Nothobranchius furzeri: one gene and its partners. The protein of the gene in region 3 binds, or shares a complex with, the protein of the main gene of each other region. Links are inferred from orthologs where the notes say so. Each region holds a gene or a part of one and is shown on either strand. Other genes may lie near its edges. The genes, in order: pigq, dpm2 and piga.

Region 1 (10,660 bases), on a different chromosome or scaffold from region 3:
TGTTCCATTTTAGTGAATCAGCAACTCACTAAAAGGACAAAAAGAAAAAACAGGTTTTACTTTGCTCTGTCACTTCTGTCCTCGCTGTGTCCATCCTTCGTTTGTGCAGCACGATCAGATTTCAATAAGTGCTGCTTGGTCTCACCTGCTTACTTCACGGGTGTTTCTGTCAACATTTAATGAGTGGTTTGCTTGAGTAGGAGAAATAAAGCAGCACCTAAAACATGTGCTGCTCCTCCTAGAAATGATGCATTAGGTGGTCATCTGCAATGGATTCGCTTTTGTAGTCGGCCTAATTAAAAACGGACGTCACAGCCAATCAATAAGATCTAACTCATAAATAACTAGAACTGCAGCTTTTACACATAATGAGCTAATCTTATGCGTTAGTAGCTGAGAGTTATTTTCCACTCGTGTTCCAAAAGTTCACACGATCTTGTGATTTGATAGGCCTTTAATTCTCTATTACTCTTCCTGCACATCACTGGTCATCAGCTAGTACTAATTACTAATGCAATTAATGAACAAACCTGATGTGTGAAAATCATGCAGATAAAAAGAACAAAACACTGTTGGTTCAGATTTCGGACGTACGTCAGCAGCAGGAACCAGGGCGTCGGCCAGCATGGAGATGTGATCGTCTCTGTAGAGCCACGACATGAGAAACACGCCAAGGGCCACGTCCACCAGAACCGACACTAGGATGTTAGCCTTCCTTCAGACAGAAATGCACAGATGTGAGAGCACGTCTGGGCAAACAGGAAGTCCAAAAACATCAACTGTGTGTGATGACTTGACCAAATGTTACGTTGTCCCATAACAGCTGTTCTGCTTCATTCTAAGACAGATGATAAATGATAAATGGCCCGCACTTGTATAGCGCCTCTCAGAGTAAGGACTCCAAAGCGCTTTACACTACAGTGTATCATTCATCCATTCACACACACATTCACACACTGGTGGTGATGAGCTACGATGTAGCCACAGCTGCCCTGGGGCGCACTGACAGAGGCGAGGCTGTCGAGCACAGGCGCCACATGTCCCTCCGACCACCACCAGCAGGCAAGGTGGGTTAAGTGTCTTGCCCAAGGACACAACAGCAGAATTCTCTGTCCGGAGCCGGGATCGAACCTGCAACCTTCCGATTACTGGACAACCCGCTCAACCTGTTGAGCTACTGCTGAGCAGTTTGACTCTGAGGTTTACCTCATGAACTGGGTGTGACCTTCAGCTGATTTAGGCGAACTGAGCGTCCTCATGTGCTCTGTCCTGTAGCTGAGCTGGATAAAAGTGGACAGTATAGAGGACAGGAAGCAAAGCGGGAAAACACTGAAGATCCTGGACAGAAACAGAATAAAGATGCAGACTAAACAACAATGAATGTTAGTTTCTGAGATGATCTGATGATATTTGCGTATTTTGCATTTCTGCTCAGATAAAATCTAAAGATGTCAGAAAGGACTTTCTGTTGCTTTTGGACAAACTCTAGAGAAGAATAAATAAAACAACCGTTGAGGGACCCGCCACCACTTCTTCTCACCAGATGTTGCAGGTCCACGTCCACACAGAGAGCAGCCAGCTGATGAAAATGCAGAGAGGCACTGAGGCCTGTTTCATCAGCTCCACGATGATGCTGGCCTCTCTGCCTTCAGACTGCCAGTGAGTCGACTTCAGCAGCCCGTCGTCGTATTTGTCGAGGAAGAAGAGCGGCTGACTGTGCGCCACCGTCTGAAACATCTACAAAGGAGGAGAAAGAAAGGAAAAATGCAGATTTAGCATTTTTTATTTAACAGATAATCATTCTGTAGTTCTAAACAATGAAGGTAGTTCTGAGCGGTGAGGAAACGTTGTCTCGTACCTCCCTCAGCTCAGTCGAGGGTTCACTTTTGTTCTCTGGGTTTTCATTCGCTATGGGATGAAGCTGCGACAGCATCACCTTCCTCTGCTCATAGTGAACAAAGATCACCTTCTCTTCAGCTTCCTCCTCCCCATCACCTCCATCCTTGCTCTCTTTCTTTGCTTCTGCTTCGTTGCTTCGCCGAGCTGACCCTCCGGCTGGTAACAAAATAAAAGAAGCTTTTTAAATCAAACCGAAGCAGAAAAAAATAATAATTCACCCAGCTGACACAGACAAACACAATGTCTAAATGACAGACTTGATTATTTTGCCATTTAAATTTTAAACACATTTCAAAAACAGAAAAAATAAGATCGACAGGTGGAGTGGTTCGGCGTCTGCAGTGATGCGGACGCTGAGCCGATCTGTCGTGGTGAAGAGGGAGCTGAGCCAGAAAGCCAGGCTCTCGATTTACCGGTCGATCTACGTCCCAATCCTCACCTATGGTCATGAGCTTTGGGTAATGACCGAAAGAACGAGATCGCGAATACAAGCGGCCGAAATGAGTTTCCTCCGTAGGGTGGCCGGGCTCAGTCTTAGAGATAGGGTGAGGAGCTCGGATTTTCGGGAGGGGCTCGAAAGGAGCCGGTTGAGATGGTTTGGGCATCTGGTCAGGATGCCTCCTGGACGCCTCCCTGGGGAGGTGTTTCGGGCATGTCCTGCCGGCAGGAGGCCCCCGGGTCGACCCAGGACACATTGGAGAGGTTACATCTCCAATCTGGTCCGGGAACACCTTGGGGTCCTGCCGGAGGAGCTGGTGGAGAAGGCCGGGGAGAGGACGGTCTGGAGCTCCCTAGTTGGGATGCTGCCCCCGCGACCCGGACCCGGATAAGCGGAGGAAGATGACAACGACGACGAGAAAAAATAAACTGTCAACTAAATAGTAGTAGAAGTAAAAGAGGTTTTATCTGGTAAGAATAATTTAAATTATTTCAATTAAAATATTCAGATTCACATTTTGTTGTCTCAGATTCTCAAATGAGAAGTCAAAGTAAATCCAGAACGTTTGAAACATTTTTATTTCTTTCGATTTTTAACTGAAGAGAAGAAAACTAACATAAAAAAATGAAGGTGAGTAGGTTGAGTTTCTCACTCTGATCGCGGCTGAGCACCTCACAGGTGAAGCCTGTCTTTCCCATCTGACGACTGATCTGGAGCCAACGTTCCTGAGGGAAGATGGTGCTCAGGTCCCTCAGGAAGCTCTCCAATCCCTCTTGACCTTCTTTGGGTAAACTCCAGGAGCCAAGGACAGACAGCTCCACCCCGCTCTGAGCCTGCATCTGGGAGGAGATGAGAGAGGAAAGATTTGAGAGAGATTTAATTTGTTGCCAATTTAAAAACAAGAACACCATCACTTAGTGATAAAACCATTGAAAGTTCACATATTTTCTGCTGTACTAAAGTTTTCTAAATATGCAGAACAGCACAGTTGTTTTGGACCCCCAGTGACGTATGAAGGAAAGTAAGGGCTCTGCTGAGACACAAACCTGCTGGATGTACTGCTTCACCTGTCCAGGGATGAACGGGTAGTGGATGACCGCTAGAACCACAGCCGAGTCATGACCAGCGATCCAGCGGCCCACCAGCAGCCCGCTGTCAGCTCGGTTGCAGCATTGCGGGAAGAAGATCTTCAGCACCATGACTACAGTGGATCTAATGAAACATCAAGTAAAAACAAAATCAGCTTGACGTTTAATATTTACACAATAAAACTACAACTTAAATCTCAGGTTTGGTGTGTTGAAATTTAAAGATTATAGTGTAGTACAGTTCACTGTTTTGTCAACAGGATTAAGATCTGACTGTGAGAAGAAATGTGATCTCACCTGGCTTTTGATAAAGCAGCTGCTAAACTTTATACAGAAGTTATTTTAGATTTATAGATTCAGACGAATGATTTGGTCTCAGATGAGCAACACCAACAGGACAAATCACACTTTGTTGTTTGTTAGTGATTTACCACAAAACTAAACCAAACGTAGAGAAACAATACCAGAAAACTGAAGTGCATCATAGGCCAGCAGGTCATCTCAACAAAGGTTGATGTAGTGATGCAACTCAAAGTCAGATCTTAGGTTCACTTGAAATAAAATAAAATTTAAGTGCAAAAAAACTAATTATGAAAGTCTGGCTGCTTGAAATTAAAATACAGAATTGAGGACTTTGGTTCATCCTCTGTGTTTTATGTCTTTATACCGCTAAATGTAGTTGAGCCGAATGAAATTCAATTACAACGTGAACTGAGGAGACAGACGTGCGTCTACAGAAAAGAGCTGGCGGAGGAAAGACTTTGAGTTGGCCGATTTATACAATGAGTTCGGAGATCTCTGAAACCGGCTGGTCTACTTTTTGCCCTTGAAATATCGAGTCCACCCCGGTTGTTATGGCAACGCAACGAGCCCAGAGCGGAAATGTCATTGATTCCACTGACAATGATTTCGATCCAACAAGTTAGGAACAGCATGGCGATTAACTGTTGATTTAGCAGAGGAATACAAATGAAAATATATTGTAACATCATAAAAACATAAACAACTCACTCCCAAACGATTGAATCGGTCCCAATACGACGAAAAAGCGAGTTTATTTTGTCGACAGTCCGAAAATTCAACAAGGTTCACACCGAACAAACGACTCAACGCGGCCCTGTTTGAACGTCCAACATCATTATAAATGTAAGACAGAAGAGCGGTGCATACTTACCTTTTCTAACACGACTACAAACGTTCACCTTCCATCTGAACCCAAGAGTGAAGTTTCCTACGTTGAAACCATCGGTTGAAACAGCTTTCATTCACGTTGTTTACAGTCCGTCCCTCGAAGTGTTCGGTCAGAAACGCGCGTGAATGTAAGTTCCTATTAGCAACTGCTCTTTAATTAAAATAATAAATAACTAAAACTAAATGTAAAAATCGTTATTTGTGTTTTCATGAGACACCATTAATAATAAACAAGGATGTTTGGATATTTTATAATAAAAAAATAAAAAATTTCAAAATAAAAAACCCGAATCGTGCTGTGATCAGAATTCGATTTACAAATGGTTTGATTTTCGTTCTAAAATAAACAGAAATCATGACAACCGTACTGTCACTGGCAAAAAATAAATAAAAATAAAAATGGCACCACAGATCTGGCACCTCCTGTAAAGGGTGCCAAAAAAATCAACATTTTGCTGTCCTTGTCCCCCTGGTAAAATAAACATTGATGGATGCGTTAAATTATAGTGTTTTAGAAAACGTGTTGAATTAAAAGAGTGAGAAGTACATTTATACAATTGTGTATTGTGTCTTATGTTATACTGCACCAGTGATTCTACACTGTAATAAAGTTATTAGACAATTGACTTGGTGACGGACAGCTGTCTCCCTCTTGCAGCCATTCTCTGACACTTCAACAAACGAGCATTTTAAGTATTCCCTGCAGGACTGCAGAGCCACTACCTGCATGTTTTGTTTTTCTCTACACCAACTCACTTGGTTTTAATCAACGGGTAAATAACGAGCTCATGAAGAACTTGAGACACAAACGACGTTTTCGTGTCTGGGAGTAAGTCAATGTGTTGTTTTGTGGTACATACATCACATATTCGGTTTAAGAAGAAAATTACCAGAACACTAACATCTTCTCTCAGTATATCAAAAATATGATAGAAAACAAAACATCAATAGAGTGAGAGGTGGATCCAACAGACAAAGAAATAAAAGAATGTTGTGGCTCACCAGCTCAGGTCCTGCTGCTGTTCAAGAGTCTTAACTGTAAAGACATTTATCTCCCCCTGCAGTGACATAGCAAGAAAAGCGCGGGAGGAAAACACAGCTGATAAAAGAGCAGTACTACTACTACTACTACTACTACTACTACTACTACTACTACTACTACTACTAATAATAATAATAATAATAATAATAATAATAATAATAATAATAATAATAATAATAATAATAAATTATTCCTGTTTTATTTCAGGTTGTAACTTACCAATTTTTAAGCTGATTGTCTAAAAACCTATTTTAAAGAAATTCAATATTTTATTGATAGGTTTCATTTAAACCATATTGTTGCTATTTGTTGTATTTATGTGTTAATATTGTTCTGAGGTAAAAGCTTTCTCATTTTTATACAGCTGCAGCGACTTATTTTTAAATGTAGTGGTCTGGTTGAGACAAAGAATTAAAAGTTAAACTGCATTACCCAGCTGCACCTGCGGCCATCGACATATGCCTGCGACTAACGGCATTGTGGGTATGCAGGAAGTAAACAAACACACGTGAAAGATGGCGGTTTCAGAGCAGAGAAAGGAGAAAAACGGAGAGGTTTTAATAGAATTTAGGGCGTCGTTTTTTGCTATGAAGCGTCTAACGTCGTTTCCGTGGACTGTGAGTATGAGACAGCACACAAAATCACGCGTGGACGTGTTTAGCTGCTGCAGGAGGAATTCCCTCACGTGAAGTAGCAAATATAAAGCTCAGTTCTGTTTCCTCCACCACAGGTGATAGAGAATGATGAGTTAGCAGAGTTTATTTTAGATCTTCTGAAGCAGGTAAGAGGTATTCAGTCATTATTACCTAACATCCACGATTATCAAGGAATAAACAAATGTGTTATTTGTTTGACAGACGTGTCTTCATCCTTTGTGCAGGAGGTTTCCTCCCTCAGTCAGATACAGAAGGCTGTTTCTGTCTGAACTCATCAAACGGGTCGGTTCCTGCATCACTTTATTTTGATAGTTCAATTCAAAAATACTTTATTAATCTCAGAGGGAAATTGATTGCTGTAGTAGCTCAGAATAATAATAATAATCAAGTCATCAAAGAGTTGTATATTACAATGGCTGTTGGCAGGAAGGATCTCCAGTAGCAGTCAGTGTTGCAGCCAAACTGAAGAAGCCTCTGACTGAAGACACTCTTCCGTTGTCGGACAGTCTTGTGAAGAGAATGCTCAGGGTTGTCCATCATTTTCTTGATTCTCTGGAGAATCCTTCTTTGCATTACCTCCTCCAGCGGTTCCGAAACTGCCGAAACTCTGGCTGAGTCCTTGAAAGGGCTTGGAGTTCCTCCATCTTGTTGGCCAGTGATCTCACATTGCCCATTATGATCGATGGAAGAGATGGTTTGAATTTCTTCTTTCTCTGTCTCCGTTTTGCTCCCACTCTGCATCCATGTGTTTTAGCTCATTTGGGATTTGTGGCTTCAGTTGAGGTATTATTTCAGCTTTTCCAATGTTAATCAGCTGCTAAAGATTGTAAACCAGCTTGTTGCCATGGTTACGCATCATAACAAATGCTCAAAAAGTGAAAAAAGCTAAAAAAAATAGCAGTACCAGAAACAGAAATGTAAAGTGTCCAAAAAATAGTTTTTTTGAGAAACTAGAAGAAAAAATGCCCAAGAAAAGGCAAACCTTACATATAGTCAACAGAGCTACTCTAACATGCAGCCACCCAGAGCAGCGCAGTTCCGAAAAAAAGTTGTTTTATAGACGTTTGATGTGAATGTTATATTTAAATAATATTTTACGAGCTTTGATTAGGAGGAAACATAAAAATTACACTCTATTTACAAATTCATTTCCATTAAAGAACCAAAATTCATGATATATCGAATTTATACTTAGTTTCCTAAGTTTCAGTTTCTATTTTTAATCATTCAAAATTTTAGGATCTTAAAATTTTTAATCTGGAAAATAAAGACGGTCCTAGTTCTGATGCTGGCCTTGGAGGTGTTTATTTCTCTCGGGAGTGAAGTTTTGTGTTTTTGTTTGTGTGCAGCAGGAAGCTGCAGCCTGTGATCCTCTGGATGAGCTGTACGACGCTCTAGCCGAGGCGCTGGGAGTCGAGGAGACCCCGGAGTGCTACAAGAGCTACTTCCTGGTACTGACGCTAAAGACAAACCAGATTTTTTGTTTGAAAAGAAAATTATTCACACTTTTACAAAAGCTATAAACAAGAGTTTGTTTACAGCTGTGGAGTTACAGATGTGCCACACCCAAGAATAAACCACATAAGACAGAGAAATAAACAGAACAGTTCAGAATACACCTTTTGATTTCTTATATTTCCTTAAATAAATCTAATTAATTCTTCTCATAATTACATTGAGCTTTCTGAGATTTGACTGAGTTCAGCCCTAAATTACATTCAGAAAAGTGTTTCTGAGTTTTAAATGTGATATAATTTTTTTGTATTTTACATTTCAAAGCTCGTGTTAGCAAAAGTAAAATTTTATCAAAGTGTTGCAGAAAAACTGGAAACATTTTAAAATGACAAGAAGCAGAAAATAAAACAGGGAAAAGACAAAATAAAACTTATATAAATCTTGTAAACTACAGACTAGAATATCTAGAATATACCAACTTCATAATTCCAGGATTTATTTTCTGTATTTACTTTTATCCAGATTACCGTAATTTCCAGACTATAGAGCGCACCTCAATATAAGCCGCACCAACAAAAAAAAAGGGTGTCTACATACACACGCCGCACTCAAACACAAGCCGCGGCGCAGCAGCCACATGCAGGTCTCCGGCGCACAGCGCATGTACGGCCATAACATAAGATAATTAGACAGAAAGACGCTACATGGAGGTTTTTCCTTGTTGTTTTAATTCAACAAAAGGAATTTTAAACACGGGTGAATGTGCCTGCAAGTTTAGAAAAGAAAACAGCGCTGATAGCATTCATATTTCTGGATGGTTATAACATAAAAACAGCACTGACACGTTATTACCGGTCATTTGCATGTTTAGAAGAAAAGAACAGCGCTGACACAGCATTAATAAGCCCTGGATGTTTAGAAAATAAAAACTGCACACAAAACATGCCTGGTTAGTAAATAAAACACACCTGCCTACCAGAAGAAGTAATTCACTTTCATCTTCCTCCTGCGCTCTAAAGCCATTAAAGTCCTCTTCTTCAGTGTCGGAGTTGAACAGCCTCAGAAGAGCTTCGTCACATACCTTTTCTGTGGCGATGTCCGTGTCGCTGTCATCATCCCCGGGTGAAGCTGGCTTGAATGAGTTCTTCCCGCTGCCGTCTGCAGCGCCGAACCATGGATTCATTCATGCCAAGCTTACGTGCGGCAGCGCTGTTTCCCTCCTTTACTGCCAGATCGATGGCCTTCAACTTAAATGCAGCATCATATGAACTCATACGTGTAGTTACCATGATGAGGGGGTATGGATTTGAAACAGATTCTTCATCGTGCCGGCTGCTTGCATGTGCTAAATTAAAATGAGCACTTTCTTCGATTTCCACTTTTGACTTCCACCTGTTTCACTTTCTGCTAAAGCGTCCCCTGCAGGTGAAGGAAAATCTTCAGTAAAGCCGCACCTCATTATAAGCCGCATGTTTCAAAGCGTGGGGAAAAAGTAGCGGCTTATAGTCCGGAAAATACGGTAATTATTTTAAGCTGTTGATTTAGTGGACCTTTTTGTTAAAGTAAAATAAATCATTAAAAGCCCCCCGGGACCCTGACTGATGTTTGTCTTGTAAACTCGTGTTTTATTGTGGAGACAATGAGAAAAACCCGAGCCGTCTTTGGTTCTGTTGACTGTCCTGCAGCCCAGCGGAGACGCCATCAGTCTGTTGGAAAACGTGGCTCTGATCTCCGAGGGAACCACCGGACTCGTGACCTGGGAAGCTGCTCTCTACCTGACTGAGTGGGTTCTGCAGAACCAGCAGGTTTTCACCGGCAGGTACCGTCTCATCTAGATCATCCACTCAGTGGGATTGGTGATGAACCGGTCCGGTGTGACGTTGTTTCTCTCTACGGTATTTTTTATGTTTTATTATGAACAATAACTGATTATCAGTGTAGTTCTTCCTGAAGACCAGAGTTGTATTAAAGCAAGTTAAACAAAATACTAGACATGCACAGATCTGGGTTTTGTAGGCCAATGCCAAGTTTTGTAAAGCTCTGATCTGGTGTTGTTGATTTTCTTTTGATTACAGTTTATCTTAAAGTGTTATAATTAATATAACTTTTGTCATTTCTGGTTAACGTTGGTTACGTATTGTAACCCCATATTCTATGAGTCTAGTCGCAGCCCTTAAGCGAGCTGCTATTGGAAGGATGATCTCCGCATCAGCCAATCATGAAGAGCTTCAATGTACGCCCACTAATAGTGGGCCCCCTTGTGGGTATATAAGTGGAGCGACTCCACTGTTCGCCTCCGATGGCTCTTAGACCTAACAGAACCAGTGGGGCCATTGGCTTAAGGGCTGCGACTAGACTCATAGAATCTGGGGTTACAATACGTAACCAACGTTCTATTTCGTCTAGTCTTAGCCCTTAAGTGAGCTGCTATTGGAATAATGCGCAGCTGGATGGGTTTACGCCACACTGGTTAGCTCAACCAATGAACACACCCAACACGCCTTTTAGGGAGGGGCGCTCAGCCTCAGCCCAGGCTCGAAGGCTGAGGCAGCCAAAAATTAGAGTGGAGCCCCCACTAAAAAATAAAATCCATAAAAGGATGAAAATCATTCAAGCAGGGCTGAAGGGATGCCATAAAGCGTTCAATCAGCCTGCTGAGGTCCAAGCACCGAACGAGTGACAGAACCTGAAGACACATCTCGTAAATGATAACGAGCAGCCTGACAAATGTCTTCCATTGACACACCACTGAGGAGCGCCATAAAAGAGGAAATCCCTCTGGCTGAGTGAGCCCTGAGTGTCTCAGGGGAATCCCGCCCTGATGATGTGTGATGAGTGAAATGGCGTCACATAGCCAGTGTGAAAGACGCTGAGTCGACAGCGCCTGCCC
Region 2 (9,104 bases), on a different chromosome or scaffold from region 3:
CTAAAAGCACAATACAATAAAGAATCGGCAGATAGAGCGGCTTCGAACATTTTGAGATTAAATCAGTCTTTTTATGAACAAGGAGAAAAACCTGGAAAAATATTGGCATGGCAAATTAAACAATTGGAAGTGCAGAAAAATATAACATCGATTGTAAGCAGCAAAGGGGAAATGATAATAGACCCGATGGAAATAAATAAGGCGTTTAGAAACTATTATGAAAAACTTTATGAATCTCAGGATAGATCAGATCAAACCTCCAGAAATGCGTTTCTGGATAAAATAAATATTCCTACTATTGCAGATGACTTAAAACAACAATTAGATGCAGAAATCACCGAAGGGGAAATAAGCAGGGCAATTAACAGTATGAGTTCAGGTAAAAAAGCGGGACCAGATGGATTTCCAATTGATTTTTATAAAAAATTTAAAAGTAAATTAGTGAAACCATTATTGGAAATGTATCAGGAATCATTACACAAAGGAAGTCTTCCTAAATCAGTAACGGGTTCGCAAATCATTTTGCTACCTAAGCCGGGAAAGCCGAGTAATAAATGTGAAAATTTGAGGCCGATAAGTTTACTCAATTCCGATATTAAGGTGTTAGGTAAAATATTAGCTACACGTTTGCAAGGTACTCTCCCCTCAGTAATTCATAGAGATCAAAATGGCTTTATATTGGGACGCCAAGGTCTGCATAACGTAAGAAGAGTCTTTAACATTATAGACGGAATAAACAATTCGTCAGAGAGCGCCTTACTCTCGCTGGATGCCGAAAAAGCATTCGATAGGGTCGAGTGGCCCTATCTTTTTGATGTTCTGACTAGATTTGGGTATGGAGATGTGTTTCGAAGATGGATACAATTATTACATTCAAATCCAACTGCTGAAATCTTGACAAACAAAAATGTCTCTGAACCAATAAGGGTGAAACGGGGATGTCCACAAGGCTCACCGATAAGTCCATTGTTGTTTGTATTAGCTATAGAACCCTTTGCTATAGCCGTACGTTCGAGTTTATCGGTGACAGGAATTATGGTGAATGAAGTAGAACATAGGATCTCGTTGTACGCTGATGATGTAATAGTATATCTCTCAAAAATAAAGGAATCAATACCTGCTCTGCTTAGATTGATAGGGGAGTTTGGTCAAATATCAGGATATGTCATTAATAAATCTAAATCATCCGTTATGTTGCTAAATGAGGAAGAAAGGGACAACCCACCCACAGTAACATCCCATTTTAAGACAGTAAGGGACTTTATGTATTTAGGGATACGGATTTCGTCTAAACTAAGTGAGATTGTGGAAAATAATTATGAAAGACTTTCTAAAGAAATAACAGAGATAGTGGACAGATGCATATCTCTACCAATTTCTTTAATGGGTCGGATTAATATATACAAAATGAGTATACTGCCAAAGGTGCTTTATGTGTATCAGAACATCCCCTTGCCGCCTCCTGTGGATTGGTTTAGCAGGATCAAAAAGCTTGTTCTCGGTTTTTTATGGCAAAATGGGAGACCAAGGATAAGATTGTCATTGTTACATCTACCATACAATGAGGGTGGTGTCATGTGTCCAAATATTGAGTGGTACTACTGGGCATGTCAAATAAGGTCTATAAGATACTATTTTGACTTAAATAACGCCCCGCAATGGTCAGAGATGGAAAGTATGAATTTGCATCCAACATTACCATTATATTTTTTCTCAGACACAGCAGTAAACTTGATTAGAAAGGCAAAAAACCCAATGGTGAAGAACATGGTCAAAGTATTGTATGGTGTAAAAAGATATATGAATGAACCTGTTGTATTGTCACAGTTTACACCAATGTGGGGAAATCAGAATTTCAGACCAGGAAGAGAAGATACAGTTTTTAAACAATGGTCAATTAAAGGACTTCAAAAAATCTAAGATTTATATCCAACAGACTCTCAAGAAATGATGTCCTTTGATATGCTTAGACATAAATATAATATTGATAGAAAGCAATTTTTCAAATATCTCCAAATTAGAAGTTACATTCGAGCAAATCAAAATAATACCTGCACCAAACCACCAAAATCAGAACTGGAAGAAATAATAAGTAAAAGCAGTTTGAAACAAGGGGCAATATCAGAAATATATAAATTACTTAGGTCCAAAACATCTGAAAATTCGTTAGGAAGATTGAACGCCTGGAAAAATGATTTAAAAAAGGACATAACCAGGGATCAATGGGAATTGGTTTGTACAAAAGCTCATAAACAAACAATCAATTCTAGACTAAGGTTGTTGCAATACAAATGGTTGATGCGAATATATGTTACTCCCGAAAAGTTGAATAAGTATAACCCTAATATACCAGACATTTGTAATAAATGCAATGAAGGGAAAGGTGATTTTTGGCATTGCATTTGGGGTTGCAGGAAGATAGGATCCTTTTGGATTGCAGTAACACAAACTATGAAACAAATACTATCCAAAGAGGTTGTTTTGGATCCCTGCTTTCTTATTTTGGGATTGTATCCTGAAAACATGAGGTACACAAAAAGCGACAGAATGTTTATTGATATGGGTCTGTTACAAGCAAAAAGATTAATTGCTTTAAAATGGAAAAGAACAAGGGAGCCGAGTATCACACAGTGGATAAAACAAATGATGGTGGTTTTGCCAATGGAGCGGATAACATGTATACTGAAAAAGAAATTGGATGTTTTTGAGAAGGTATGGAGACCGTTTGTGAACTTTGTAGAAGGATTTGTATTAGCTGAGGAGGATGAGGACTGAGGACAATGACATTTGTTTTGAGATAATGTCAAATTTAGGCCTTTAACGGAGTGATAAATCGACTGTTTTTTTTCTTTCTTTTCTTTTAGATGTCTGAGAGGAGAATATGTTCATGTAGTGTTTAGTGTGTTGGAATGTTTGCTAGTTGCTAAAATGTAACAAAAAAAAAAAAAAGATATTGTTGGAAAAAAAAATCATTTATTAATCCAAATGCGTGTAAAAGAAATGCGTTTGTAATCCTAACCCTAATCCGCGAGCAGGTGACAGAAGTAGGCTCAGAATAAAAACATCACCAGTGCTGCAGGAGTCATCGTGAGCCGAGCCGGTATCGGCCCTTCAAACTAGAATCGGTGCAGCCCTTATTTGTTTTATTTGTTTGGGGTTATGGTTTACCAAAATAAATGTCATATCTGTGATTTATTGTATTTACAACAACGGAAGTGACACATCAGAGCTTTCTGGTTAATTTGTTTACATTTTCATAACAAACAAAATCAAGAATCAGCAGATTTGAACTAAAGTCTTGTGTTCAAAGTTTGAATGGAGTTTTTAAATGAACGGCATCAGAAACATGATTAAATAAGACATTAGGCCAAACCAAGAAATGCACCAGTCCTTCAGTAGTTTATTTTGGGTGATTACACTTTTTTTCTATTTAAAATATATTTATTATATATTAATAGATAATATATTTATAGATATAAACTACATAAATAAATGATATAAAATTAAAAAATAAAATAATACTTAAAAGAATAAACTTTGAGTCATTCCCAGAACCACCGTACCGATGCCGGATCCTGCAGCTTTTTATAAGACTGTATTTAATTCACACACACACACACACACACACACACACACACACACACACACACACACACACACACACACACACACACACACACACACACACACACACACACACACGCGCGCACACAAACACCTCACTGTTTATCTCTGATTCTTCCTGTTGATGATCAGGAAGCTGGATCTTGATCCCAGGCTGCATTTGTGCTTCCAGGCGTCGGGAGCAGATCAGGCGGTCGGGATGAGTCTCGTTGTTTTCAGCCTCCTGTTGTTCTCCTACTACACTGTTTGGGTCATCGTTCTGGTGGGTTCTGTTGGGTGTTTGCAGCTAACATTTCTCTAAATGAAACATCTTCCATGTCCTCATCTTGAGTTCTGTATCTGATCATGTGACTTGAGCTTCATTAGGTCACCTTTGTGTTACTTTCCAGCCTTTTGTAGACTCGGATCACCCCCTGCACAGATGTTTCCTTCCTCGGGAATATTCTGTGATCCTACCAGGTGTTGCTGCAGTAATCTTTGTCCTCTTTGTTGGTCAGTATCTTCACTCATAAACTTCTTCATTAAAACATTCTGTTTATTTTCTGTCGCATGAATATGGGATGTTGATGTTTTCCGTGGATGAGAGGAGATGACTCTGTGCTTCCTCTGCAGGAGCCTTCACTACCTTCATCATGTGGAAGGACCACAAACCAAAGAAAGTGGCCTAAGGAGGATTGAACCCCTTAAAGGTTATTCCTGCTGGCGGCGACACCAGAACCACCAGCTCATACTTTTGTTCTGCACAATAGACTTTTTCCTGCAGTTATAAACAACATGTTCTTCTGCAAAGAAGAGAAATGTCCCTTTGATGCCCTTCCGCTTCAGACGTCATTTATAGCGCGTTGGCGCCACCTAGTGGCCCAGCTCGTACTACACGATGGAGAAAACGTTCTGCAGATTCAGACTTGGTTCTATTCAGGTCTCAGAGGACTTCACTAGAACCAGACCGGTTCTATAAGATCACACCTGCTGCAGCAGAGAACCAGAGGTCACATGTCTAGATGATGTCAACATTCACCTGATTTAACCAGATTTTATTTGAATGTTTAGAAAGAGTAAATGTTTAAATGGAGCCTGTTTGAATCCGTTTCACATCCAGATGTGTTCACTCAAAGCAGACCGACTGACATCTGAGTGCTGAAATCCAGCTGTTCTGGTGTTTTACTGCAGCTGGAGTTCCCGGATGATCGTTTTTCTAAAATAAAACTAAAATGTTTTCTGCTTTGGATCTGCGCTCGTTTCTAACTCACAGACATGATGATGATAGAAAAGAGTTCAGAACCCGGAACCAGGATCTCCTCCAGGCCTGGGCCTGATCTGGACCTGCACCAGGCTCAGCCTCAGCTTGACCAATCAGTGCCTGTGTGGGGGGGTGGGGGGTGTAGAAGCTTCCGGAGCCTCCAGCTGGACCAAACTGTTGTCAGCTATTCATCGTTCTGCACCATCACTGCATGACGTTGCAGAACCGGTTCCTGCAAGTGGTTCGGTCCGTTTCGGTGGTTCGGTCCGTGCGTGTCACCGGGTGGGACCCGGTCCGTGGTGCGACCAGGCTCCGCGCGGACATGTGAGTCAGAGACCCGAACCCACCGAGCCGGCTCCGAGCTGCGGTCCGTTCTGAGGTGAGTTCTGGTGATGATGATGATGATGAAGATCTGCGGCTCGCCTCTTTGATCTGGAGTAAACTTTATTTAGTTTCAACAGAATCAGGTTTATTACCAGAACATCCATCAGAGGCTCAGGAGTTCACTAGAATGGATGGGTTGCTGGTTCGAACCCAGGCGCCGTTATATCAGCCGTTGTGTCCTTGGGCAGGACCTGTACCTCCCTGCTGTGGTGGTCAGGGGGGCCGGAGTGAGTGAGCCAGAAGGTCGTCCACACTGAGGCTGTGGGGCACTGACACTATACGCGCAGGCAAGGAGGGGGTTTGAACCAGCAACCCTCGAGCAGCGTAAACTCCCCGAGCCACGTCACCACCTCACCCATTCATCCAGTTTTAATGTTATGAGCTTATTGACACATAAGTCTTAATGGTCGCTCACCTGAACTCACGTGCAGGATGGGATGCGTGCAGTAAACTAACCAGACCCGGAACCCAGAGGTGGTGATGGTGGTACTGGTTCCATCCCTGACTCTGTGATATTGGACCGCGTAAATCTGCTGAACTGTGTCACTAGCGCTGCGCCGCGGTCCGCTGAGCTTTCATCCCTTTGTGTCGGTCTCCATGGTGACCAGGTTCTGTGTTTTGTTTAGCTCTCGGGCCTCTCTCACTCTTTGATTTCTTTAGTCGGAGCTGTGAACGACAGACCGGGTCAGCTGACCCGTTCCTGTTCTGTTGGAGTCCAAATGGAGGGATCCGGCGCTCCCAGGACTTCTCACCGCCGCCGCTCCGTTAAGAGGATGAGATGGGGGGGTCTGAGGCAGCAGTGGAAACTTCTGGGTCTGTTTGAGATCGACCAGAACCACGAGTTCTACAGCCTGACCTGCATGATGAAGGAGGGTCTATTTGCAGCCATCCAGAATACCATCAGCCTCCCCACGGTGAGTACCCTACCAGCAGATCCCGGATCCATCAAAACACGGGTCAGACCCATCTGATCACCATGGCAACGGGCTGTACCGATCCACTCTGCTGGTTCTGACTGAGAGCTGGTTTCAAAGGTTCTGCTGGTCACTGAGGTGGAGGGTGATGATGCTGTGTTCTGGTCTGGTCCAGGTGGTTCTGTTCCACACAGAGACACCCACCCCATACAGCGCTCTTCACCTCATGGAGCAGTGTGGATCAGCATACCTGTCAAAGGTGTCGTTTTAACTAAGACATGCCATCAGGTGGAGATGGAGAGTGGAGCTGGTGGGTGGAGCCAGAGCGTTGGAGCCAGAGGGTGGGGCTGGAGGGTGGAGATGATGGATGGAGGTGGTGGGTGGAGCCAGAGGGTGGAGATGACGGGTGGAGCTGGAAGGTGGAGCTGGTGGGTGGAGCCAGAGGGTGGAAATGAGAGATGGAGGGTGGAGCCAGAGGGTGGAGATGATAAGTAGAGATGGAGGGTGGAGATGATTTGTAGAGATGGAGGGTGGAGATGATGGGTGGAGCCAGAGGGTGAAATGAGAGATGGAGGGTGGAGCCAGAGGGTGGAGATGATGAGTAGAGATGGAGGGTGGAGATGATTTGTAGAGATGGAGGGTGGAGATGATGGGTGGAGCCAGAGGGTGGAGATGGTGGAGATGATGGGTAGAGATGGAGGGTGGAGCCAGAGGGTGGAGCTGGAGGGTGGAGATGATGGGTAGAGATGGAGGGTGCAGCCAGAGGGTGGAGATGATGGGTAGAGATGGAGGGTGGAGCCAGAGGGTGGAGCTGGAGGGTGGAGATGATGGGTGGAGCCAGAGGGTGGAGATGGTGGGCGGTGATGATGGGTAGAGATGGAGGGTGGAGATGATGGGTGGAGATGAAGGGTGGAGATGATGGGTAGAGCTGGAGGGTGGAGATGATGGGTAGAGATGGAGGGTGGAGCCAGAGGGTGGAGATGATGGGTGGAGATGGTGGGTGGAGATGATGGATAGGGATGGAGGGTGGAGATGATGGGTGGAGCCAGAGGGTGGAGATGATGGGTAGAGATGGAGGGTGGAGATGAAGGGTGGAGCTGGAGGGTGGAGATGATGGGTAGAGATGGAGGGTGGAGTCAGAGGGTGGAGATGATGGGTAGAGATGGAGGGTGGAGCCAGAGGGTGGAGATGATGTGTAGAGATGGAGGGTGGAGATGATGGGTGGAGCCAGAGGGTGAAGATGATGGGTAGAGATGGAGGGTGGAGTCAGAGGGTGGAGATGATGGGTAGAGATGGAGGGTGGAGCCAGAGGGTGGATATGGAGGGTGGAGCTGGAGGGTGGAGATGATGGGTAGAGATGGAGGGTGGAGCCAGAGGGTGGAGATGATGGGTAGAGATGGAGGGTGGAGATGGTGGGTGGAGCTGGGCCGTTTCTCAGTATGCATAGTTGTCTGTACCAAGCCCCCACAATGCGGGTGAAAAATTGAAGCAAACCCGGAAATGAAATAAATTGCAGTTCCACCCTCATCCACTAGGGGCTGGTGTCAGAAGCGAGCAAATCCTCATTGACTCCCATGTTAAAAATACCAATTTCACAGCAGAAATAAACATGTTTACAGCCTGGTACCAAAACATGTTTTAGGTTTAAATGATCTAGTTTACACTCATGACAACTCTGAGGGGGGTGAATTTTTTTCTCACTCTTCTGTTTAGGTGTATTAAAAGCCTAAAATTCTGTATAATTAATGAGCATCAGACCCACGTGACCGCAGAGCTAGCTCCGGGGAAAGGCCTCAGTAGAGCCTCGGTCTGGCCTGGAAACTGTTCTGGGATTTAGAGTCTCCGTGTTTGTGTATTCTGTTTTTGGATATTTTTTGTGCAATTGTTGGACAAAATGACTTGCTGTGGCATTAATTGCACTAATAGCGCGTCCAAGGAGTCTCCACTTAATTTTTTTCGGTAAGTAAAATTATATTTATGTATTTTAGGTCACTGCCGAGCTGAGCTTAGATTTTAACATGTACTGTTTAACCATGAAATTTAAATGTAATAGGGTAAAACCCAGTGCATTTAACATAATGCTGCACTTTAGAAAATGGGTTGAAATATAACATGTTGGTGGAGCTGGGTTCCGACTATCGTCTTGTGGAGGTCTCGGGAGACCTCTGTGTTCCACCTGGTTTTACCCAGCGGTCAGCCCGGCGTATCTCTGACTCAGAAGCTCTGGTGTTGTGCACAGTTAACTCCGGTTGTAGCTAGGATGCTACCTCCGTTAGCTTAGCTCCCACCTCCGCGTTAGCTTTGGGTTCGCTTCAGGTTAGCTTGTAGCTAGTTTGACCGGGTGTCGTCAGTTGATCCCAGCCTTACAGCCCCACCCTCAGCTCCACCTCTCTTCCCTTTTATGGAATTGTCTGGGCTTGACGGAACCTGTGACACGGTCAAAATGGCGGTGGTGGCCACCTCCCATTTATCTTCAAAAACGTGTTATTGGAGTCTACGGAAACCCATTGTCCAATATTTATGTCAATGGTCTGTACTTGTGTACTCACGTCCTTGTGAACATCATCAGCGATGGCCCAAGGACTGCTCCAGTACTAAGTTGGCAAGATTAGATTCGTGCTCCACCCGTATCCCACAATGCATTGCATCACAACTGTTATACTCTGAACGTCAGAGGAGAACTCTAATACCTGTAGAGTTTTATATTTGAAATACTAATAAAGTACAATTAAGTTGTCTGTTATTGTCAATTATTGTGTGTAACCTTTAAAATCTGCTTTTCACAGTCTCTCAAGATGCTAATTAGCTAACCCACTATCAAAATAAAACCACAGTAGCTCTGTTTTTGACCTGAATATATAGTTTTTATTAAATTAACAGTGGAAAAAAATGGTATTTTATCAGAAGTGGACCAAATATAATTCTAATAATATGTTTTCATT
Region 3 (10,637 bases):
ACGATTTTCAAGACAGTAAAAAGGGCTTGTATTTAGACATTTCATCTTTTTTTTGGTCTAGAAAAAAAACGTCTTATCTGCAAAAAACAGCAATAAAGAAAAATAAGATGAAATGACTAAAATCAAAACTTTACTTTCTTAAAAATCTGCTTTTGCAATGTAGAAGCACAAAACTCATTCTAAGCACATTGAATTGCCTATTTTTATGCTTATTTATTTAGCAGGCGCTTTTGTACGAAGTGACTTACAGGTGAAAATCCAGCCAGCAGGTTGCCCTTGAGGCTAACAACAAACACTATTCAGTCAATCCTAGGTGGCAGCGAGGCAGCATAATCAATGTGTATGAAACGTGCTATATAAATAAAGCTGCCTTGCCTAAATAAATAATACAAGCTCAAATAAAGTAATACAAATACCATAAAACTATATGTTAAACTCTATTTTCACACTAAAACCTAAAAAAGGACAAACTTCAGAAGAACTCTAATCTCTAGCCTGATATTTCTCAACATGGACGCCTCAAAATCAGACCCCATTGTACATTTTACTAATAGTGTGTTCTCACATTTGCACCATTGTCCAGCAGCAACTTGGCACAAGCATAATGACCGCCGAGGCAGGCTTCATGCAGAGGAGAGACTCTGTCTATGGTGAGTGTGTCCACATGGAGGCCCTGGAGGCAATATGGAGGATAAAATCTGTCTGGTTTTCATTCTAAAACGTGTGTGACGGATATAAATCTCATGAAGTATGTTTATTCTGATCACCTGAGTGATGAGAGTCTTGATGTGCAGGAGTCTGCCCTGACAGGCTGATTCGTGGAGGGGGGTTCTGTCTGACCACGAATCTGAGACAAGAGAAACAAAAACATTGACTTCACTGGAAATGAAAAGTAGATCATTGTTCTTCTTGTTTTAGTGGATGTTTTTATTTCTTGATGAACCGCAACACACCCATGTTTTAGTTGGACCGCAAAGCTGGCCAAATTTGAATAGCAATGCAGTCTAATCTAATCCAGCTGACTCCTCATTTCTCTCATATCCAAAACTACAAAAACGAAACTCACCGGCCATCAGAGAGTTACACGGCAGACCCCCGTAGATGTAAAACGGCTGTGATCTCTTGGAGACTTGCGTTTGACCTGCAGCCATGATGGAAATGGAGGCAGACTAGGCTCACAAACTGAAAACAGACTCTTATCAGAGTCCTCGGTCAACACCCCCACATTACCTCCCCCCTTCTGCATCTGCATCACAATAGCAGCTGGAATGTTCCTGATCACCTTTCAGACAAAACATTTAAAAAATGTGAGGGAACTGCAGGGCTGCAGGATTGGGTGAGTAAACAGCTGCATCAAGCTTCATGCACGTTATAATAAAGCTATGGTAATAGCTGTAAAAAGCCCAAAACCATCACATGCAAAATGTTTTATTCTTTCTTAGTTTTACTCAAATGTAAACAAGAAAACAAGGTTTTCCGCCATGTGTGAACTTACTACTTCCTGTTTAACAGCTACTTTGGAGCTTTCCCAAAAAACAAATTCCCAGGAACAAATGGTTTCTGTTTGTTTTCCAATGAAGAATATTCCTTTGAAACATGAATAAAGAGGTGAATGTTTTATATAGATTTAAACATCTGCTTTATTTTACAGATCTAGGCCAGGAGGTTCTCCCCTCAGACACAAAATAAAACTTTAGAGCCACAACTGTTACAGGGCCTGTTGCAAAACAAAATTTTACAAATATTTAAAAATATTCATGGAAGAAGACGACCAGTGAAATGTTTTTTCCTTCAGATTTATAAAAATAACTTGAGAATTATGAGGAAAAAAAGACAAAATTTGGGATTAAGTTCAGGAATCTTTTTTCTCCTTCAAATATTAGAGATTTGTTTTCAGTTCTGAAAAACAATTTTGTTTCCCTTTGGGATTTAGAAGAAAAAGAGAACAATTTTTTTTCAATGAGATGTTGATTTTTGAGGACAATTCTGTGAAAGAAAAAAAACAGATGTAAAAATATTAGATATTTTTGGAAAACAATATCAGAAAAGCTGCTTAAATCCACAATTTTAGAAACTATTCATGTGTTTTAAAAAAATCAGTTAACATATTTTCAAATTATTTTTAGCAAACGTTAGAATCCATCGCAGATGGCTGCAGACTCATCATCATCTGCAAAAAAAGAAAGAAAAAAAAAACCTTCAAGGTTGAATTAAAAAATCCATCCATCCATTCTCTTCCACTTATTTGGAGTTGAGTCGTGGGGGCGGCAGCCTAAGCAGAGGCCCAGACTTCCCTCTCCTCTCCCCAGCCACTTGGGCCAGCTCTTCTGGGGGAATCCCAAGGTGTTCCCTGGCCAGCTGAGAGACATAGTCCCTCCAGCGTGTCCTGGGTCTTCTTTTAGGTCTCCTCCCGATGGGACATACCTGGAAAACCTCATCAGGGAGGCGTCCAGGAGGTATCCTAACCAGATGCCCGGGCCACCACAACTGGCTCTTCTCAACGTGGAGGAGCAGCGGCTCTACTCCGAGCCCCTCCTGGATGACCAAGCTTCTCACTCTTTCTCTCAGTTGGTTTTTACAAAGCAATGCCGTCAATTTGCCGCTAAGGTGCAATAAGACAGACAATTACAGCAATATTACTACCAAGGAGATGGAAGGAATGCTGCAAAATTTGCGCATCGCCATGCCAGAACTGTGCGCCTTGTAAAAAGGGCTTGTGGGAGAGCCCAGCCACCCAGCGGAGAAATCTAATTTCTGCCGCTTGTATCCGCGATCTCGTTCTTTCGGTCACCACTCAAAGCTTGTGACCATATGTGAGGGTTGGAACATAGACTGACAGGAAAATCAAGAGCTTTCCAAAAATAAATATAAACGTGTGCTCTAACAAATAATTTATCAAACCAACTGTTATTTTATTAGACGTGATTAAGAGCAGATGCTGCTGCTTTATTGTAACCAGTGTTTTCACTGCTTTAGTTCAGAGCAGCAGGGAGTGTAAGAAAAAATAAAAAGTGCTTATTAACTACCGAGAAGAGCCTCCACACAAAGTTCCCTTTGTTTAGAAAAATGTAAACGTTGAGCATTTGATCGAGTACAGACAGCATTTAAACAGTCTGATGGCCGAAGGAGAGATGGGTTTTCTCGTTTTGTGGCAAGTTTGGAATCAGTCAAACTTTTTCCTGCTTGTTTTCTGTCTCCACAGTCCATGAGGGCCGGTGGCATCAACAGCCACGTCCATGAACCGATCTGGCAACAACCACTGCAGAAGCAGCAGGAAGAGGAAGTCCAGCATGGCAACAAAGGCAAAGATGGATCCAGCCACGGGGCCACAGTGAGACCGGAGTCTCCGCAACCTCTTGGCCAGAGGGAGGACCTCTTCTCCAACTACTTTATCATACACCTGGGAGGAAAAACATATGATGATGTCATTACCTACACCAGATATCCTATCATTCAAGTCATCCTCTGGTACCTTTTCTGTCCTCTCTGCGACATTTTTCCAAGTGTAGAGGTTTCTAACACGATTGTGGATTGAAGCCGGTGAGGGGAAAGAATCGGATCGTTGCTTAGCGATGACTTGTTCCAAACCATCACACAGCGACCGCACAGTAGGTTCACACAGGGTTATTAAGTCATCAGGCAACACCTCAGGAATGCCACCGACGCGAGTGCTGACAACCTTCCAGGGAGGATGGAAAAGAGCTGCTCAGAGTTGATAAAACCAACATTCTAATAAGGCAAATCAGAATTATTCCACTACAGCTAAAGATCAGTCTGAATCTGTTTGTTTTAGATAAAACAATGAAGATTTTTAAATTCAGCATCACTATTCCAAAGATATGGAGTGTTTCTGAAAATAAAATCCTTTCTATTAAAAAAAGATGCAGACTTAAACGAATGTGTGAAAGCGGACAGAAAAGAAGCACCCTACAGAAAAGTGTTCAAAAGGCATCAGTTAGTGATCCTGATACACGACAAATCAAAGACTCAAAAACCAGCTGCTTCCTACTTGGAATGCATACCAAAGAAATATTTTACTAATGAGGTTGTTTCACTTCTTTACACTTTCACATGTGACTAGATTTAGTTTGCTACTAGTTTATATCTGTTAACGATAAAGTTACACAATTATCATGAATTGTATGAAAGATTTAGGTCTGATTAGTTTATTGTTACACAGAAAGTAAAACCTAAGTAAGAGATGTAAAAGAGATCAAACTTTTGCTTGTGTGTAAGCTCAACCAACTGGAAACAGGAGCAGACACTTTCCATGAATCAGTGAGAAAACACTGCGTGGGGGCCAAACAAGCTATCTGATACCTTGCAAGAATTTACCTTAACCCTTAGAGGTCCCTCGTGCATTTTGTTGCGCAGGCAGTCATGTATTTTTGAATAACTTTGGCTGTGTTGATGAAATTCTTTTTATTTTTATTTTGCTCCGGAGTGTGTTTTTGGGTACGTTTACTAAAAATAAAATGTGTTTTCATAATTTATGTGACTGTGTTTTTTTCAGTTTTCATTAGAAAAATCAGTTCTCACCCAAAGTCTAATATCAGTGCAAAATCCTACACAACAGATGTATATGTGCTTTTTCTGTGTGATTCTGCACACTTACATACATGCACTTATGACTCAATGCAATCGACAAATGACCAGAGGAAAGATTTTTTCATGCTTTGGTGGGTGGTGGAGGTTGGAGCTTTTTTCTGTGTGAGGGACCTGGATGTGAGTTTTTCTGAATATCTGACACCATACAAAAGAGACAGATAAAACAAAAAATATTTTTTTGCTCATTTGTGACTCTCTAGAGCCCTCACAATTCACCCCCTAAAGAAGTCCTCTGGACATAACACACGAGAAATGATTTAGGTTTTTTGACAAAATATGGCCCTCTCCCTGGGCTGCCACCTTACCGTGGTGGAGGGGTTTGAGTGTCTCAATGATCCTAGGAGCTAAGTTGTCTGAGGCTTTCTGCCTCTGGTGTCACCCATGGCAAACAGGTCCTAGGTGATGGATCAGACAAAGAGCAGCCCGAAGACCTCTTATGATGAATTATATAAATGGAAACCGTGTTCCCTCGCCCGGACGTGGGTCACTGGGGCCCCCCTCTGGAGCCAGGCCTGGAGGTGGGGCACGCTGGCGAGCGCCTGGTGGCCGGGCTTTCACCCATGGAACCTGACCGGGCACAGCCCAAAGAGGAAACGTGGGTCCCCCTTCCCATGGGCTCACCACTCGTGGGAGGGGCCAAAGGGGTCGGGTGCAGTGTGTGACGGGTGGTAGTCAAGGGAGGGGACCTTGGCAGTCTGATCCTCGGCTATAGAAGCTGGCTCTTGGCACATGGAATGTCACCTCTCTGGTGGGGAAGGAGCCTGAGTTGGTGTGTGAGGCTGAGAGGTTCCGACTAGATATAGTCTGACTCACCTCAACACATGACTCTGGCTCTGGCTCTGGAACCAGTTTCCTTGAGAGGGGTTGGACTTTCTACCACTCTGGAGTTGCTCCCACTGAGAGGTGCCGAGCAGGGATGGACATACTAGTTGCCCCCCATCGTGGTGCCTGTACGTTGGGGTTTAACCCGGTGAATGAGAGGGTAGCCTCCCTCTGCCTACGTGTGGGGGGACGGGTTCTGACTGTGGTCTGTGCTTATGCACCAAACTACAGTTCAGACTACACACCCATTTTGGAGTCCTTGGAGGGGGTGCTGGAAAGCGCTCCTTCCGGTGACTCCCTCGTTCTGCTGGGGGACTTTAAGGCTCACGTGGGCAACAACAGTGAGACCTGGAGAAGTGTGGTTGGGAGGAACGGCCCCCTGATCTGAATTCGAGGGGTGTTTTGTTTTTGGACTTCTGTGCCAGTCATGGATTGTCCATAATGAACACCATGTTCAGACATAAAGGTGTCCCTATGTGCTCTTGGCACCTGGATACCTTAGACCGCAGCTCGATGATCGGCTTTGTTGTTGTTTCATCTGACCTGCGGCCGCATGTCTTGGACACTCGGGTGAAGAGAGGGGCGGAGCTGTCAACTGATCACTACCTGGTAGTGAGTTGGCTCAGATGGTGGGAGAGGATGCCGGTCAGACCAGGCAGGCCCAAATGTATATCGCGAGGGTCTGCTGGGAACGTCTGGCAGAGTCTCCTGTCAGAAGGAGCTTCAATTCCCACCTCCGACAGAACTTCCAAAATGTTCCGGGGGAGACGGGGGGCATTGAGTCTGAATGGACCCTGTTCCGTGCCTCCATTGTTGAGGCAGCCGACCACAGCTGTGGTCGCAGGATCGTCAGTGCCTGTCGTGGTGGCAACCCCCGAACCCGCTGGTGGACACCGGCGGTTAGGGATGCTGTCAAGCTGAAGAAAGAGTCTTATCAGGTCTTTCTGGCCTGTGGGACTCCAGAGGCAGCTGATGGGTACCGGCAGTCCAAGTAAAACGCAGCTCGGGTGGTCACCAAGGCAAAAACCCAGGCATGGGAGGAGTTCGGTGAAACCATGGAGCAAGACTTCCGTACGGCTTCGAGGAGATTCTGGTCCACCATCCGGCGCCTCGGGGGGGAAAGCAGTGCGCTACCAACACTATCTATAGTGGGGATGGTGTGCTGCTGACCTCTACTCAGGACGTTGTGGATCGGTGGGCAGAATACTTGGAAGGCCTCCTCAATCCCACCGACACGTCTTCCAGTGAGGAAGCAGAGTCTGGGGACTTTGGGTTGGCCTCTCAAATCTCTGGTGCTGAGGTCACTGAGGTGGTTAAAAAGCTCCTCTGTGGCAAGGCTCCGGGGGTGGATGAGATCCACCCGGAGTTCCTTGGTGAGCGATGTTGTGGGGCTGTTGGCTGGCGCGATATCGCATGGACATCGGGGGCAGTCCCACTGGACTGGCAGACTGGGGTGGTGGCCCCCTTACTTAAAAAGAGGGACCGCAGGGCGTGTTCCAACTACAGGGGGATCACACTCCTGAGCCTTCCTAGTAAGGTCTATTCAGGGGTTCTGGAGAGGAGGGTCCGTCGGATTGTTGAACCTCAGACTCAGGAGGAGTCTCTATACCCTTAGGGGGATCATGGAGGGTGCGTGGGAATTTGCCCAACCAGTCTACATGTGTTTTGTGGATTTGGAGAAGGCATTTGACCGCGTCCCTCAGGGGGCCCTGTGGGGGGTACTCCGGGAGTATGGGGTACCAGGCCCTCTGATACGGGCTGTTAGGTCCCTGTATGACCGGTGTCAGAGCTTGGCCCGCATTGCCGGCAGTAAGTCAGGCTCGTTCCCAGTGAGAGTTGGACTCCGCCAAGGCTGTCCTTTGTCACAGATTCTGTTCAGAACCTTTATGGACAGGATTCCTAGGTGCAGCCAAGGTGTGGAGGGCATGCGTTTTGGTGGCCTGAGGATCAGGTCTCTGCTTTTTGCAGATGATGTGGTCCTGTTGGCTTCATCAGAACGTGATCTTCAGCTTTCACTGGAGCGGTTCGCTGCCGAGTGTGAAGCAGCTGGGATGAGAATCAGCTCCTCTAAATCTGAGACCAGGGTCTTGATTCAGAAAAGGGTAGAATGCCTTCTCTGGGTCAGGGATGAGGTCCTGCCCCAAGTGGAGGAGTTTAAGTATCTTGGGGTCTTGTTCACGAGTGAGGGAACACTGGAACGTGAGATCGATAGGCGGATTGATGCTGCATCTGCAGTGATGCGGGCGTTGTACCGGTCTGTCGTGGTGAAGAGAGAGCTGAGTCAGAAGGCGAAGCTCTCGATTTACCGGTTGATCTACGTTCTTACCCTCACCTATGGTCATGAGCTTTGGGTAGTGACCAAAAGAACGAGATCGCGGATACAAGTGGCCGAAATGAGTTTTTTCCGAAGAGTGGCTGGGCTCTCCCTTAGAGACAGGGTGAGAAGCTCGGTCATTTGGTAGGGGCTCGGAGTAGATCTGCTGCTCCTTTGCATCAAGAGTAGACCCGCTGCTCCTCCACATCGAGACGAGCCAGTTGAGGTGGCTCGGGCATCTGGTCAGGATGCCTCCTGGACACCTCCCTCGTGAGGTTTTCAGGGCACGTCCAACCGGGAGGAGACCTAAAGGTAGATCCAGGACACGGTGGAGGGACTATGTCTCTCACCTGGCCAGGGAACGCCTTGGGATTCCCCAGGAGGAGCTGGCCCAAGTGGCTGGGGAAAGGGAAGTCTGGGCCTCTTGCCTTAGGCTACTGCCCCTGCGACCCGACTCCGGATAAGCGGATGAAAATGGATGGATGGATGGATGGATGGATGGATGGACAAAATATGGCACTAAAGGAGTTAAATCTCAAAAACACTCAAATATTTTATTATGTTTTGCGAGGACTGAAGCTAAGAAAATAATCTGTGTAAAAGATTTTTGACTTTTGAAACATTTTATAATTTTTATTACACATTTAGCTAAAATGCATTTTTCTGTGCGAGGGACCTGAATGTGAGTTTTGCTGAATATCTGACACTACACAGAAAAAACAGAGAAAACAAAAAATATTTTTTGCTCATTTGCGACTCTCCAAAGCCCTCACAATTCAGCCCCAGAAGAAGTGATGTGGACATAACACACAAAAAATTATTGTTTTTTATACAGTTGATTTTTTTGACAAAATATGGCACTAAAGGAGTTAAATCTCAAAAACTCTCAATTATTTTACTATGTTTGTTGAGGACTGAAGCTAAGGATAGAATCAGTGAAATTTTTTTTTTGAATTTTGAAATTATATTTTTTATACATTTTGCTAAAATGCCTTTTGTTGTGCGAGGGTCCCCAGTGTAGCTTTTTTTAAGGAACCTCCAAGGGTTAAAAAGATAAGCAAACAACTTAAACTGAAGAATGTTACTAAATTATCAGATTTTTCCCACTCAAGTCCTGCTGGTTTTACACCTTTGAATAAAAACAGACCTGCAGGCCACAGCTGGCTCCTTCCACGATGGCCATACAGAAGGCTTCGGTCAGCGACGTGTTGAGGAAGATGTGTCCCTGAACCAAAACGCCGCGGACGTCTTTATGCTCCAGAGCTCCGAGCAAACGAACTCTTCAGCGAACAGAAAAAAATATTTTAGCCTCATTAACAGAAAAACAATTTTAAAGGCATACTTGGATCAGATCCGACTGATTTCACCAGACAAACTTAAAGGATAAAAATCACCAACGCTGAAACGCTTCTAAATATAAAACATTGAAATGTCATTTCAGCCATAATAAAAACATATAAAACATTCTTAGTTGTCAAGTTTTGCATTTTTCTTCCACAATCTCAGGAACTACACCCATCCAACCTACCGATCATGCAGCTGGTATTTCTCTCTCACTTCCTCCAGCACGAGCCTCTTTGGTCCCTCTCCGCCAATCAGGAAATGAAGATCAGGATGTTTGAGGCAAAGCTCTGGGATGATCCCACCCAGAAGATCAATTCCTAAACAGAGAAGGTTTGTTTACAGTTAAAGTACAGCAGCCTTTTATTCAGCTATGTGTGTGTGTATATATATATATATATATATATATATATATATATATATATATATATATATACATACAAGCAGTTTTATTCCTGCAATCGATCTCTTTTTTCCTCCTTTATACTCTTTTCACACTTTGTTTTTGTTAAAAGTCTGGAGATGATCCCACGGGGATTTGTTCAGAATGACCTTTTGAAGTTTGTTTATTGTGCAGCTCTGAAACTACTAACAGATATCTGAGAAACCCAACTTTCTTGATCTGACCCTATGACCCACACTTTTATTAGTAGGGCTCAGAAACAGTAGACTGGAACTGAAATTGACTGAAAGTCATTATTCCAGAGAAAGGGAGCTTAACCACAGAGCTGTGTGCTTTCTGTTCCTTTGTGTTGCAGACAAATTACATAAAGGAAAATAAAGAAAGAAAGAAAACGATCTTTTGTATTTATATCTCTCAAGATAAAAATCACAAAGCATCATGAGCCCAGGAGGTGAGGTTAAAATGTTGGGAGTTTCCATGCTTTTTTAATTATTATAAAGGCATCAGGTAATACAGGGTATATGCTGGGCTCTAACAAATAAATGGTAAATAGCCTGTATTTGTATAACGCCTTCTTAGGGTTCTACAACCCCCCCAAGGTGCTTCACAACACAATCACCCATTCACACACTGGTGGTAATGAGCTACAGTGTAGGCACGGCCGCCCTTGGGCGCACTGACAGAGGTGAGACTGTCGAGCACTGGCGCCAACGGTCTGACCACCACCAGCAGGCAAGGCGGGTTAAGTGTCTTGCCCAAGGACACAACAGCAGCATTCAGCACCACTTCATCAGTTGGCGGGATATGTCACGTCCATGATAGCAGGGCTGTAGCAATGGTACGTAAAGGCACGTGTTACGGAAACGCAAGCAAAAAGCCGGCATGAAAGAACAAATAATTATTTTATGATATTAGTTTACTTTCATCTATTTTTATACAACCTTATGGTAAATACACATCAATACTAACTAAATTTAAGACTTTTTAAATTGATTCAAGATATTTAAATACTTTTTAAGGATCTTAATTTTCCTCAAATAAATTTATTAACTTTTAATGCTTTTCAAGACTCCCCAGATATTTGTTCTTCCTTTTCTTGATTGTCAGTGCAGTTTGCACGACAACTGGGTCAACCATCTTCCATTCTAG

What was found.
Region 1: piga (region 3) and pigq share a complex: the UniProt entries of both Homo sapiens proteins name them as parts of the glycosylphosphatidylinositol-N-acetylglucosaminyltransferase (GPI-GnT) complex. The link is inferred for Nothobranchius furzeri from reciprocal best matches to the Homo sapiens genes PIGA and PIGQ.
Region 2: piga (region 3) and dpm2 share a complex: the UniProt entries of both Homo sapiens proteins name them as parts of the glycosylphosphatidylinositol-N-acetylglucosaminyltransferase (GPI-GnT) complex. The link is inferred for Nothobranchius furzeri from reciprocal best matches to the Homo sapiens genes PIGA and DPM2.

Annotation. Positions count from the first base shown.
Region 1 is NC_091745.1:17,735,831-17,746,490, reverse strand, and holds the start of pigq (phosphatidylinositol N-acetylglucosaminyltransferase subunit Q), read right to left. Parts: upstream 5,753-10,660; 5' UTR 5,620-5,752; intron 4,729-5,619; exon of another isoform or gene 4,601-4,728; intron 3,551-4,600; 5' UTR 3,538-3,550; coding exon 3,385-3,537; intron 3,178-3,384; coding exon 2,955-3,177; intron 2,056-2,954; coding exon 1,859-2,055; intron 1,738-1,858; coding exon 1,541-1,737; intron 1,339-1,540; coding exon 1,207-1,338; intron 716-1,206; coding exon 595-715; intron 1-594. Other genes in the region: protein-lysine N-methyltransferase EEF2KMT, read left to right, coding at 6,175-6,276, 6,390-6,440, 6,517-6,597, 7,665-7,766, 9,456-9,589. UniProt on the Homo sapiens protein: Part of the glycosylphosphatidylinositol-N-acetylglucosaminyltransferase (GPI-GnT) complex that catalyzes the transfer of N-acetylglucosamine from UDP-N-acetylglucosamine to phosphatidylinositol and participates in the first step of GPI biosynthesis.
Region 2 is NC_091746.1:70,776,277-70,785,380, reverse strand, and holds the end of dpm2 (dolichol phosphate-mannose biosynthesis regulatory protein), read left to right. Parts: intron 1-3,796; coding exon 3,797-3,886; intron 3,887-4,013; coding exon 4,014-4,116; intron 4,117-4,236; coding exon 4,237-4,292; 3' UTR 4,293-4,852; downstream 4,853-9,104. UniProt on the Homo sapiens protein: Regulates the biosynthesis of dolichol phosphate-mannose. Regulatory subunit of the dolichol-phosphate mannose (DPM) synthase complex; essential for the ER localization and stable expression of DPM1.
Region 3 is NC_091754.1:25,449,742-25,460,378, reverse strand, and holds the end of piga (phosphatidylinositol N-acetylglucosaminyltransferase subunit A), read right to left. Parts: intron 9,406-10,637; coding exon 9,273-9,405; intron 9,025-9,272; coding exon 8,892-9,024; intron 3,680-8,891; coding exon 3,473-3,679; intron 3,401-3,472; coding exon 3,164-3,400; 3' UTR 2,957-3,163; downstream 1-2,956. Other genes in the region: asb11 (ankyrin repeat and SOCS box protein 11), read right to left, coding at 566-673, 768-847, 1,067-1,151. UniProt on the Homo sapiens protein: Catalytic subunit of the glycosylphosphatidylinositol-N-acetylglucosaminyltransferase (GPI-GnT) complex that catalyzes the transfer of N-acetylglucosamine from UDP-N-acetylglucosamine to phosphatidylinositol and participates in the first step of GPI biosynthesis.